2 linked regions of the Oryzias latipes genome follow. Each later gene encodes a partner of the first gene's protein in a complex. Links are inferred from orthologs where the notes say so. Each region holds a gene or a part of one and is shown on either strand. Other genes may lie near its edges.

Region 1 (5,195 bases):
ACATGTTTTTAAGTCCTTACTCAGTTTATAAGAATACTGTACAATACACAATAATAATACTTAGAATAATATTTCTGGTTTTGTGCGTTCCCGTGTAAGCTGACAGTAAATAATCCTAAATGTGTTTAAGTGTGTGGACAGATATTGATGAAGTACGTTGGAATGTAAATGTTAAATCTGAAGTGTTATTTTGCAGGTGCTCCCCTGAATGTCTATAATGTGCTGTGTCGTTTCTCAGGCCTGGTAGCACACAGTGACCTTGATGAGAGAGCCATTGAAGCTTTGAAAGAATTCAATGAAGAAGGTGCGCTGCAGGTGCTGGTCCAGTTTAAAGAGAGTGATCTGTCACACGTACAAGTAAGTTTTTGGATCCTGGAGGTTTGAAGAGGTCGCATTGTTATTTCATGTGATTAAAGAGGCAACTGTTTGTCTTTCAGAATAAAAGTGCCTTTCTTTGTGGGGTGATGAAGACTTACAGGCAACGAGAGAAACAAGGGACTAAAGTTTCTCGTACTTCCAAAGGACCAGATGAGGCTAAAATCAAAGAACTCCTGGACAGAACCAAATACACACTTGATGTTACAACAGGTCAGCGAAAGTATGGCGGACCCCCACCTGAGTCTGTGTACTCAGGTCCACAGCCAACTGTAGGAACTGAGGTACGGGGTTAAATTCAACGAAGACAAAGCCTGAGAATAAACAGAAGCAAATGTCAGTGAATCAAGAGACCCACTTCTTTGTCTAAGAAACTGGAGGAGCTGTAGCCGGACATTGTGTCTGCAGCACCCCCACACTGAAATCAGTGGTATTCACCTGTATTCTCTGCATTGAATTCTCTTTTTCTGGTAGATCTTTGTTGGGAAGATTCCCAGGGACTTGTTTGAAGATGAGCTGGTTCCTCTCTTTGAGAAAGCTGGATCTATTTGGGACCTCAGGCTCATGATGGACCCCCTAAGCAGCCTTAACAGGGGTTATGCTTTTGTTACATTCTGCGCTAAAGAAGCAGCACAAGAGGCGGTCAAACTGGTGAGTTCATGGAGTTATTTTCAGACAAAAACTTTCATTTTCAAATTAAAATGGGCCGAACGGCCTGTTCCTGACCGTCATCCTGAAATGCCTTTTTACAGTGTAATAACTACGAGATCCGCCCCGGAAAGCACATCGGTGCGTGTATATCTGTCGCCAACAACAGGCTGTTCGTTGGCTCTATTCCCAAAAGTAAAACAAAGGAGCAGATTGTTGAAGAGTTTTCAAAAGTCACAGGTACGACCGGGGTTCCTGTCGGTACTTGAAGAACTTTCCTTAAATATAAATCTTGTGATTTATTTTGTTCTGAATCTTCTTTGTGTCCAGACGGCCTGAACGATGTGATCCTGTACCATCAGCCCGACGACAAAAAGAAGAACAGAGGCTTTTGTTTCCTGGAGTTTGAAGACCATAAAACAGCCGCTCAGGCACGGCGCAGGCTAATGAGTGGGAAGGTCAAGGTCTGGGGCATCCTGGTCACAGTGGAATGGGCTGATCCCATCGAGGATCCCGACCCAGAGGTCATGGCCAAGGTGAGCATCACCCTTTGAAAACCTGATGCTGAACTGAGAAACCCAATGCATGGAAACGCCTGCAGGCCTGTTCCTTTGCCCCCTTGGGGAAGGATGGGTTTGTTTGAATGTTATCTGGCCAAAGCGGTACTCTTCAAAAAGTGTTACTGCATGACAGAGTACTTAAAATGCTTAATGTCCTTATTTTTAACAGTCTGCAGTGCACCTCTGTTTTCACACACACAAGGAAACATATTTTACCTCTCATCGCCACGGCAACAGACTTTTTTCAGAGCAGTGCACATTATCCGTCGGGTAACTGTATTAGGATCTTCTGCTGTGAAGTACAGACAAAGCTGCGCTCGCTAGAGTAAAGCTCCACCCCCACAGCCTCACGCCTTCTCATAGGAGCCGCCCACAATCACTGGAAAGGCAATATTATTGGCTAGAGTTCAGTAAGACTGGAGAGTGATACGTGATATGAACGAAGCCCAGAAATCTGTTTTTAATGGTTCTGGTAATGCGGCACACGTTGGTACAAGGATGTCCTGACAGAAGGAAGCTGCACAGGTCTGATGGGAAAAGCGTTTCTCTATCTGTGTTGCAGGTGAAGGTTTTATTTGTGAGGAATCTCGCCAACAGCGTTACGGAGGAGATTCTTGAGAAGTCTTTCAGTGCGTTTGGAAAGCTGGAGCGAGTGAAGAAGCTGAAGGACTATGCCTTCATTCACTTTGAGGAGCGGGAAGGTGCAGTGAAGGTACACACTTTCATTCAGAACCAGAGCATTCTTTCTAAAAAACAACACAAAAGAATGGACCTAAAACTGACCAAACCTTCATTTAGGCCTTGGATGAAATGAACGGGAAAGAACTGGAGGGAGAGCCAATCGAGATCGTCTTTGCCAAACCGCCGGATCAGAAAAGAAAAGAACGCAAGGCTCAAAGGCAGGCAGCCAAAACACAAATGTATGAGCTGTTAAATCAGCAGGAAAGCCTTCCTCCTCCACAAATACTGACTTTATGCTTCTGATTTTTTTTCCTTTCTGTCAGATATGATGATTACTACTATTACCCTCCTGCTCCCCACGCGCCCCCTGCAAGAGGCCGGGGCCGAGGAGGCAACCGGGGTGGATACGGCTACCCCTCCGACTACTACAGCTATGATGACTACTATGACTACTACGGCTATGACTATCACAACTACCGCGGCGGCTACGAAGACCCCTATTACGGCTACGAAGACTTCCAGTCCCCGAGCCGAGGGCGCGGCAGCAGCAGGGGCGCCCGTGGCGGAACTTCACCGGCTCGAGGACGCGGCAGCGCCGGCGCGCCGAGGGGCAGGCCCAGCTTCCCCCCGCATGGAGGGCCTGGACCGAGCCGCGGAGGGCGGGGAGCGAGAGGAGGCGTGCAGCCGAGAGGGCGAGGAGGGGTACGTGGTGTTCGGGGTGGCCGCGGTGGAAATGTAGGAGGAAAGCGCAAAGCTGATGGGTACAACCAGCCAGATTCCAAGCGTCGCCAGACCAATAATCAGAACTGGGGCTCTCAACCCATTGCTCAGCAACCCCTCCAAGGTGGTGATCATGCTGGTAACTATTTTGGTTACAAATCTGACAACCAGGAGTTTTATCAGGATTCTTTTGGGCAACAGTGGAAGTAAACCAGTAAGGCTTTCATAAAAGGAAAGAATTTATCCTTTCTGCCTTGTTTTTTCTCATTTAGAGACTTGATCTAATTGGCCCTCTATTCCATTTTGTTGCCAGCTTTATTTTTTTGTTTTTTCCACTCAAAAGTTAGTGACACCTGGCAGGATATCTTTATGTATATATTTTATCGATCCGCTTGGACTCGATCTAGTCACTCTCACCTGCTTCTGGCAAACTGCATTTTTTTCCTTTGTTGTTTTTGTTTTTTTAAGGTGGTCGTAAAAGATTCTTCAAATCCAACTTTTCCAACATTTTTAGATGCGAAATGTGCTGAAGCTGTCTATTTGGCTGTAGCTTAATGTATGTTTTATAGAAATTCTGATTTTAATGTTTTAACTAGTTAAAATAAAAAAGCTACCAAGCTTCTGTCTCCTAAAAATGTATTTAATAAGAGTGAAATTACAATTTGTATTGTAAAAGTAATGCGTGTCTTGTTATTGAAAAGAAAAAAAAAAAAGGACAACCGTAGTCCTCATTTTTGGGCTTTACATTTTGGCTTGTATTCTTTGCTGTTTGTCTGCTTTAATAAACATACACGCACACGTGTACAAAAACTTCAAATTGTGTCGCAAATTCATGTTTCGGCAAATTCTCTTTTCAAATTTTCTTCAAATTTAAGGCTCCATGTGGAAGAAGGTGGACTGAAGGTTTGCCATTGTTGGCCATATGCTACAGTGTCACCTTGCATGCCATCCAGTTCCAAGTCACCTTCTGTAGTCGGCATCTCAGAGCTCTGTCTGTGTAGTGGCGTACCTCATGTCCCAAAACATCTCACTAATTGGTGTCCCAAATTCACTGTCAACGCAGCGACGTCAGAACGGCCTGGGGGGGGGGGGGGGGGGGGGCACAAAAGCACAATTGGATTGTAGCCTCAGACTGAAGCTTTTCCTGGTCCCAGAAGGAACTTTGCTGTTCACAGCGTGGAAACTAAACCTGCATGTTTATCTCCAGGTTTGGCGCCGGACTTGTGTTGGGAAGCAGCGCTTTGCATGCCTCCTCCCTGTAGATCTGATTTATGCCCTCATTCCTGCTTCACCCGTGTCTCTGCCATCTCAGCCTTTCCCCGCTGCTCCCTTAAAGTTTCCCGGCCAGAAGCGGCTAGTTTGTCAGGCGCCGGCGTGCATGTTTACTCTGCTTCTGTCACGCCGGAGCTCCCCCCGCCACGTGTCGGTGCTCAGTGTTTAGGGAGCTCGGCGGCATTTGAGTGTGTAGATGTTACCTGATGCTGTTTTCCATCCTCTAATAACTTCCTTTTGTTACCTGGCTAGCAGGGAAGAGGGGTGGAGGCCGGCCCTGATGTGTTGCTCTGAAGACTGACGAGCACATGGCGTTGCACACTGCAGGCTGCCCGTGGAGGGAATGGTAAGGTCACCTGATACAGTGGTCCAATGGTGTTCCAGCCTTTTGTCAAAGACCCACTCTGATGAAAACATGCTCTTCTGGCATTTTGTTTGTTGCTCCAAATTGCATTTTTGAGTACCGTATTTTCTGGTGTAGAAGTCTCAGGGCCCAAAAAGAAAAACGCTGCGTCAGAGTTTTGGGAGAAGAAAAGTTTGACGCTTTTGAACGAATCCAACAAATTCACGCGGAACGCCATTCACGTGTCCAATTTGCTCCCGCTGCTTTTTTCCTGATGTGCATCAAGTTTGATACGTTTATAAACCAGAAGCTCCTGTCACAAGTGGGAGGGGCTACTGTCCAGCTTTTTAGCTCATTGCTGCATAGCAGGATTGGCTGCACACGTCACCTACATGCAAGGAAGACGTGAATGACGTCAACGTATCTACCAAAGCTTCGGTGAACACGGCTCCACGTCTGGCCTCGTAAGATCGTTCCGTTTTTGTTTTGGTACGGCGGCGTTTACCTCCAACTCCTTTCAGCGGTACCGCCGTGTCTCTGCGTCCCCCTTTGATGACTCGCTGCCCCGCCTTAGTCTGAGGTCCCGAGTCAAATCC
Region 2 (6,103 bases), on another chromosome or scaffold:
GTCAGTAAGAAACTGGCTCAAATGGCTTTCAGCATCAAAGGTTGCAGACCCCTGAGCTTGGTCAGTGCAACAAGGTTACCTAATGAAGTAACCGGGCTATAATTTTCTTTAATGAAACCAGCTTTAATTCAGAACTTAGTTTGTAACCTGCCCCCACCCCCTACCAAAACCTGTAATGGATGAATCAGACAGTGAATTCTAATCTTTTCAGTACTCCCTCAGTATGAAGGTTATTTGTTTCTGATCAATTTGTATAAATTGTGTCTATCAAGAAGTAATTTTCCCCTCTAATCTGAACAGATTGCTTCATCTCAACATCATTAGTGAGCTGCTGATATCCAACACCACTGGTACACCTGTGAGACCCCTTCAGACATCCCAAAATCCATCTGGGTGATTCTTTGTAGTCCAAAAAAATGTTTTCTCATCTTCTTTTTTCCCCTTGTGATTTTAAAATGTATCCGAGCAGAGCAAAAGGAAAATCATCACAAATACATAAAATAAAAGTCAGACACCGTAAGCGGCTACCTGTACAATGCTGACATGAAACAAAAGGGAACACCTGATTCTGCTTATCAGTCACTGCTAAATTTATTCAAGTTGAAATCAATTGTGTTAAAAAAAGGTTTTCATTTGGGAAAATGCATTAAAGGGTCAATCATCTTCAAGTGAACCGGTTTCAATTTAAAGATTATTACAGATGAGGCACATTATTAAAGGACTGCTATAGAGAGCAGTTGAACTGGTAATGATATGAGTGTCTTAAATGAGGTAGTGGAACTACAGACTGCTCAACAAAAGCTCTCCCTCCCATGAGAACCAGAATAAAAATTCCACCTAAACCTCCACTGCACTGAATACATTAGACTGAGAAATCTAGTCTGCACACAGTTTTACACAAGTGAAACTCTGCTCTTAGAATGAATTTTATGACCAGTTTTTGCCAAGATGGTTATTGTCAAGAGATTTATCTTAAACTACGAATCAAATACTGTCACTCCAAAGCTTTGCAGATTTGTCACTCTAAAATGCTGCAATACTGCCCTCTGCTGGTAGAAAACTCCATGAGGTTCCGAGAAATTTACTACCAGCTTCCCTCATAAACTATGAACCTGAAGCCATTTTTTTTTTATTTAAAGCCTGAAATATTTTTTAATATATGGAAAATCCATTAACCCTTTCACCATCACTCAACCACAATTTTGTGTGATTGTTAAATACAGACTTCTAGACAAAAAAAAGTAGCGGTGCAAGAAGCCCACAATGTTATACTGGGAATGCTATAGTTGTTTATCAATTAAATGCTTTTCCGATAAACTCCAGGAAAAAGTTCCTTTGATCTGCACAAGTTACTTTAGAGCATTAAATAGTCATCCCGTTTAATATGTCTCTTTAAATCCCATAATTAATCAACTGTACTTCAGGGCTGAGTAAGAAAGAATCAAAACACTTTTTATAAACATTTATTCATCTTTATTCGCCAGAACAAACCATTTTAGACAAGAACACCGTATTGTTTCAGAACATCTGTGTATTTTGCGATCTTGCCCTCCACGTTCTTCTCTGCCAGCTTGCTTAGCTTAACCAATGTCTTTTTCTTGACATAGTGGAGCTTGGCCTTCTCTTTTCTCTTCTCCTCCAGAGTGGCTGTGATAGCCTGGTACTTCCAGCCGACCTCGTGGGCGAGACGCCCAAGGAGAGCAAACTGAAGACAAACGAAGCAACAGAAACTTAGGCTCTGAAATTACTCAAAGAAATTGTTTTTATAAAAACAGAAAATTGCTAGCATAGAACATGTGTGCAATTATCACCTTGCTGGATTATGCTTTAAACAAATATTGACCTTTATCTGGCAACGGTTCATTAAAACATGGATTTATTTATTCTTAAGACTTACCTTGCGAGAGGGCTTCAGCCGCACAATTTTAAGAGCAGCTGGCACAACCACGCGCTTTCTCTGCAAGTCAAAACCAAAGATTTAGTAGGAATTTAAAAAACAAACATTTTCCACTGATGGAATTGCGTTGTCACATACATTTAAAAACTTTTTTTTTAACAAAAGATGTGATTTAAAAGTCAGACAGTTGGCCATAGGTCATCAAACAGTGGCACACCTTGTCATAGGGAGGTGGGATGCCATCAAACACCTTCAGCCTCTCCAGAGCAGCCTGGCCTCTCTTGGTTTTGTGGGGCAACATGCCTGTTGGGAGCAAAACATTCATCAATTTTAACGTATAAAAACAAACACTCTGGATCTTATAAACACATCAAATCCTTGCTTAACTCAGAAATCAGATCCGTAAAGTTTTGGATCATCAGTGATTCAATCAGATTCGGGATAAAAAAAGTTCATCATTGTAAAGCAAGGATCCACCTGATACACAACTGTTCTTTTGTCCCATGTAATTTACATCAATACACCAGTGTTGCACTATTCAATGTGTTCACACCCCACCTCTAACTGTCCTCCAAAAGATCCTGCTGGGAGCTCTGAAATGATACGGCCCACGAGACGGGTTGGTGTTCATCCTCTTGCGCAGGAAAGCCAGGTACTTCACTGTCAGAAACAAGTCAAACATTAAACTATGTTCTATCCACCAGAACGGCTGAGAATTGATGTATGCTTGTCTCAGATGGTAGTGCATGTACAATGTTTTCAAGGTCAATGAAACTCAAATACAAGTGGGAAAACATCACAGACAAACATTTATAAAATAAAAATTAAAGCCAAAATTTCAATATTGACTTACGCTTGTTGCGATAGAAGTTGCCAGAAATGTTGATGCCTTCACATCTCACTATAACCACTTTGTGCCCTAAAGAAAGAAAAAAAAAATGGACAAATTAAGAATAAAAAAATATAACAAATTGATCAATAATCCCAATTGTCCAAAATCTCAGATACATATAAAATTCTCATTGTCCTTAAAACTCAACCAAGGGAGAATGTGGAATCATCATAGATGGAGCCAGTAGCCAAATACCATTAGAGATCGTTTATAACTTACCCAGCAGAACTTGTTTAGCCACAATGGCAGCCAGCCGGCCCAATAGATGACCCCTGCCATCTATCAGCAGAACCTGCAAGGAGGATTTATTGTGTTAGTACACTGCGACATGTGGTCGAGGGGGTGTTATAATGAATTTACATTCAAATTACGGTGATTTAAATTTCTAATTGTACACAACTAACGGTGAACAAAAAATAACTCTTTATTAAACGAGGGGAAAACTCTTAAAAGCTACAAAATTTTAAATCAGGCCGGCTAACTTAACGATGATAGCCCCTAGCGTACACGTCAAGCATGCTAATGCATCAACTCCCCTTCCAAACAATACGTAAATATATCGTTACGGTAAGATATTACAGATCTTTCCTAAATAAGAAAGTAGCTCAATTAATTAATCTCAAAATCACCCAACTAAGTGCAAACTACTAAAGTTGACGTAAATAAAGTAAGGCTAGCAAGCTAATCAGCCCTTTTCTTAGGGAGGCTGCCATTATGAAGGCATGTTCTCTCGGCTTCTCGTCTCAAATGTTTCAAATTGAGGCTAAGAGAATGACCCGAAAATCACAAATTTGGAATCTATTGCAACACAAATGATCGCACAATACAAGTGAACCAAGGACAAAAGACCAGATACACTAAACAGTGAAAAAACAATGAATATGTGTAAGCAGCTTCCACGCACCTTATTGAACCGGTCCGCCATGATGAGCGAAAAGAAAGACGAACGGGGTTGCTCATGGTAAAAGGCAGGGGTGGCAGGAAGTGACGACATTTAAGTCTTTTTCATCCGTCTTTTTCGCACGTTCACATTTCCTCGAGAGCATGATGAGTGCCACCCATAGGCTGTAAGGTGCAACCTGAATAAATAATATTTAAAAAAGAAAACAACAATAATAATATTTTTAAAACAGTCTATATATTACCAACCCATATTAATTTTAGCAAGATAGTCTTTATAACAAATAAAAAAAAATCAACATACATAACTATTTGGTGCAAGATTTATAAAGTACGTTAAAAAACAGTACATACTTGAAGTTAATTGATTTCAACCAAACTTTATTGACACTTCTTTTCATGACACATCAAGGGTTCATTGTAAAACACATAATGACCCATCCATCCATCTATTTTCTATAACCACTCTGTCCCTTTTGGGGTCACAGGGTTGCTGGAGACTTTCCCCGCTGTTAGGTAAAGGGGGGGTAAACCCTGGTTGAACAGGTCACCATTCTGTTGCAGGGCACACAATTAACCTACGAAGAATGTTTTTAGACTGTGACAAAAAGGTCTAAGTGCCCAGACAACATGCAAACTCCACACAGAAAGGTTTCAGGTGGGATTCAAACCAGGGCCTTCCATTGCGAGGCGAACAAGACCGTGTAGCACAAAATGACCCATCATTTCTTTTATAAACTCATATTTTGGTTCACATTGCAGCCCTTAGCATGATAACCCAAGATACAATTGAGCAGCCTAGTTTGCCGAATACAAAGCCTGTTATGGTTTGACATGTAATAACTTTCTTCGTGTTTTGTCCTGCAACTCTCCAGTTATTACCTGAAATCACCTGTCTGATTAATTACTAAACAACTCCTTTGGTTAAAAATACTCATAAAAAGCAAGCCTTTCCCACCTTAACAGTTTAAAAAACATTTAGTTTACTTTTGCCATTTACTAATTACTCTGATCACTTTCAGTCAAAGTACTAACAAAAATTAGGCACAGAAGGCTCCAAGTGGGGATAAAGTAATAAGAAAGTAGCTTATTTTCTATTTGGAGAAGTTTTCAACTTTGACAGATTTTAAAGATACCACTTCTGATTACATCAGGCTTTAAAGAAATACCGTTAAATAACATGCAATGATCTAAAAACTGCATTTCGACATTTCTACTCTGTTTTACTTGCAAACACAAAACCCAAAGGACAGTAGTTTAACAGTTTGTGTAGTGAGAACAATGTTGTGTTGTTCTGAAAAAGCATGGAAGTGAAGCAAATGTAATTTCATGAACAGTTTTATTTATTTGTCAACACTTACAGAGAACATCCTATATTATCCGGATTTGCCAGATAATACAGTCTGCATTGTTATCGGTGTGTTTACAAAAAAGGCGCCTCTGATGACTGAAGGTTGGACGTTTTGAAGGGATTGACTCAGTCATCGTGCTTCAACTTTCTGATCTTTCCCTTGTGGCGGTCAATGTCACGCTGCAGACGTTCAATCTCCTTTTTATGGTGGTCGATTTCCTCCTCGTGGTGCTGCCTCAACGCAGCCAGCTGCTCCTTTTCTTTACGTCTAAAGAAGCACAAAATGTGATTTAAAAAAAAAAGCCAAGACTATCAGCACTGAAGTAAGATGTTAATGCAGGATAAAATGACACATACTTGAAGTACAGCTCCTCCTCAGCAGCCTGCCTCTTTCCCATGGCTCCACCCGCATCTCTAATGGAGCCTCCGCCTCCTCCACCTTTCCCTGCACCTTTACCTAGTTCACCCAGCTAAGGGAGGAGCAACAGACCACAGAAATCATCAATGAATTCAATCTTTGGTGCATTAATGTTCACAAACCTTTTAAACTACAAACTTTAAAAGTTTATAACTTTCCCCCCCAAAAAAGCGGTCTGGCTGTTGACATAGAGATTATTTTAACAGAGTTAGAGAAGTGTTATTTTAAAACATTTTAAAATATGTAACAGCCAGATAAATATTTTACTTCGTACTGATTCAAGACGTTTTTAATATCAGGAGCTAATCTTATAATAAACGTACTTATTCTTGGCGTGCACCCAAAAAGAAAGTCTGGTATTTTATTTTTCTCCAAAACAAACTTCTTCCATTATTTAATACAAGCATATGATTTTGATTCTTTGTGAACATCGCACTAAGAACATTTATTTTTGAGGGTCATTTTTAATTTCAGCCAAAAATAATATTTATACATGCAAATATACTGAATACGTAACCATTTTTCCTGGTTTTCATTAGTAAATTACATTTTAAAAAAATACCAGTCCTGATTAAGGGTCAGAAAGTCTAAAGGTTAGGCACCTGTTATTTCCGATTGTTTCGGAAATAAATCTTTTATTTGTTT

Evidence for each region. The genes of interacting proteins can lie anywhere in the genome.
Region 2: heterogeneous nuclear ribonucleoprotein Q (region 1) and rpl13a share a complex: the UniProt entries of both Homo sapiens proteins name them as parts of the GAIT complex. The link is inferred for Oryzias latipes from reciprocal best matches to the Homo sapiens genes SYNCRIP and RPL13A.

Annotation. Positions count from the first base shown.
Region 1 is NC_019882.2:1,561,623-1,566,817, reverse strand, and holds part of heterogeneous nuclear ribonucleoprotein Q, read left to right. Parts: intron 1-238; coding exon 239-357; intron 358-437; coding exon 438-659; intron 660-849; coding exon 850-1,026; intron 1,027-1,127; coding exon 1,128-1,263; intron 1,264-1,353; coding exon 1,354-1,559; intron 1,560-2,145; coding exon 2,146-2,295; intron 2,296-2,381; coding exon 2,382-2,503; intron 2,504-2,587; coding exon 2,588-3,194; 3' UTR 3,195-4,602; intron 4,603-5,195. UniProt on the Homo sapiens protein: Heterogenous nuclear ribonucleoprotein (hnRNP) implicated in mRNA processing mechanisms. Component of the CRD-mediated complex that promotes MYC mRNA stability.
Region 2 is NC_019880.2:9,906,387-9,912,489, forward strand, and holds rpl13a (60S ribosomal protein L13a), read right to left. Parts: upstream 3,776-6,103; 5' UTR 3,715-3,775; coding exon 3,694-3,714; intron 3,082-3,693; coding exon 3,009-3,081; intron 2,817-3,008; coding exon 2,751-2,816; intron 2,705-2,750; exon of another isoform or gene 2,624-2,704; intron 2,558-2,623; coding exon 2,456-2,557; intron 2,362-2,455; exon of another isoform or gene 2,282-2,361; intron 2,201-2,281; coding exon 2,115-2,200; intron 1,958-2,114; coding exon 1,898-1,957; intron 1,706-1,897; coding exon 1,496-1,705; 3' UTR 1,448-1,495; downstream 1-1,447. Other genes in the region: ATPase inhibitor B, mitochondrial, read right to left, coding at 5,167-5,308, 5,398-5,510. UniProt on the Homo sapiens protein: Associated with ribosomes but is not required for canonical ribosome function and has extra-ribosomal functions.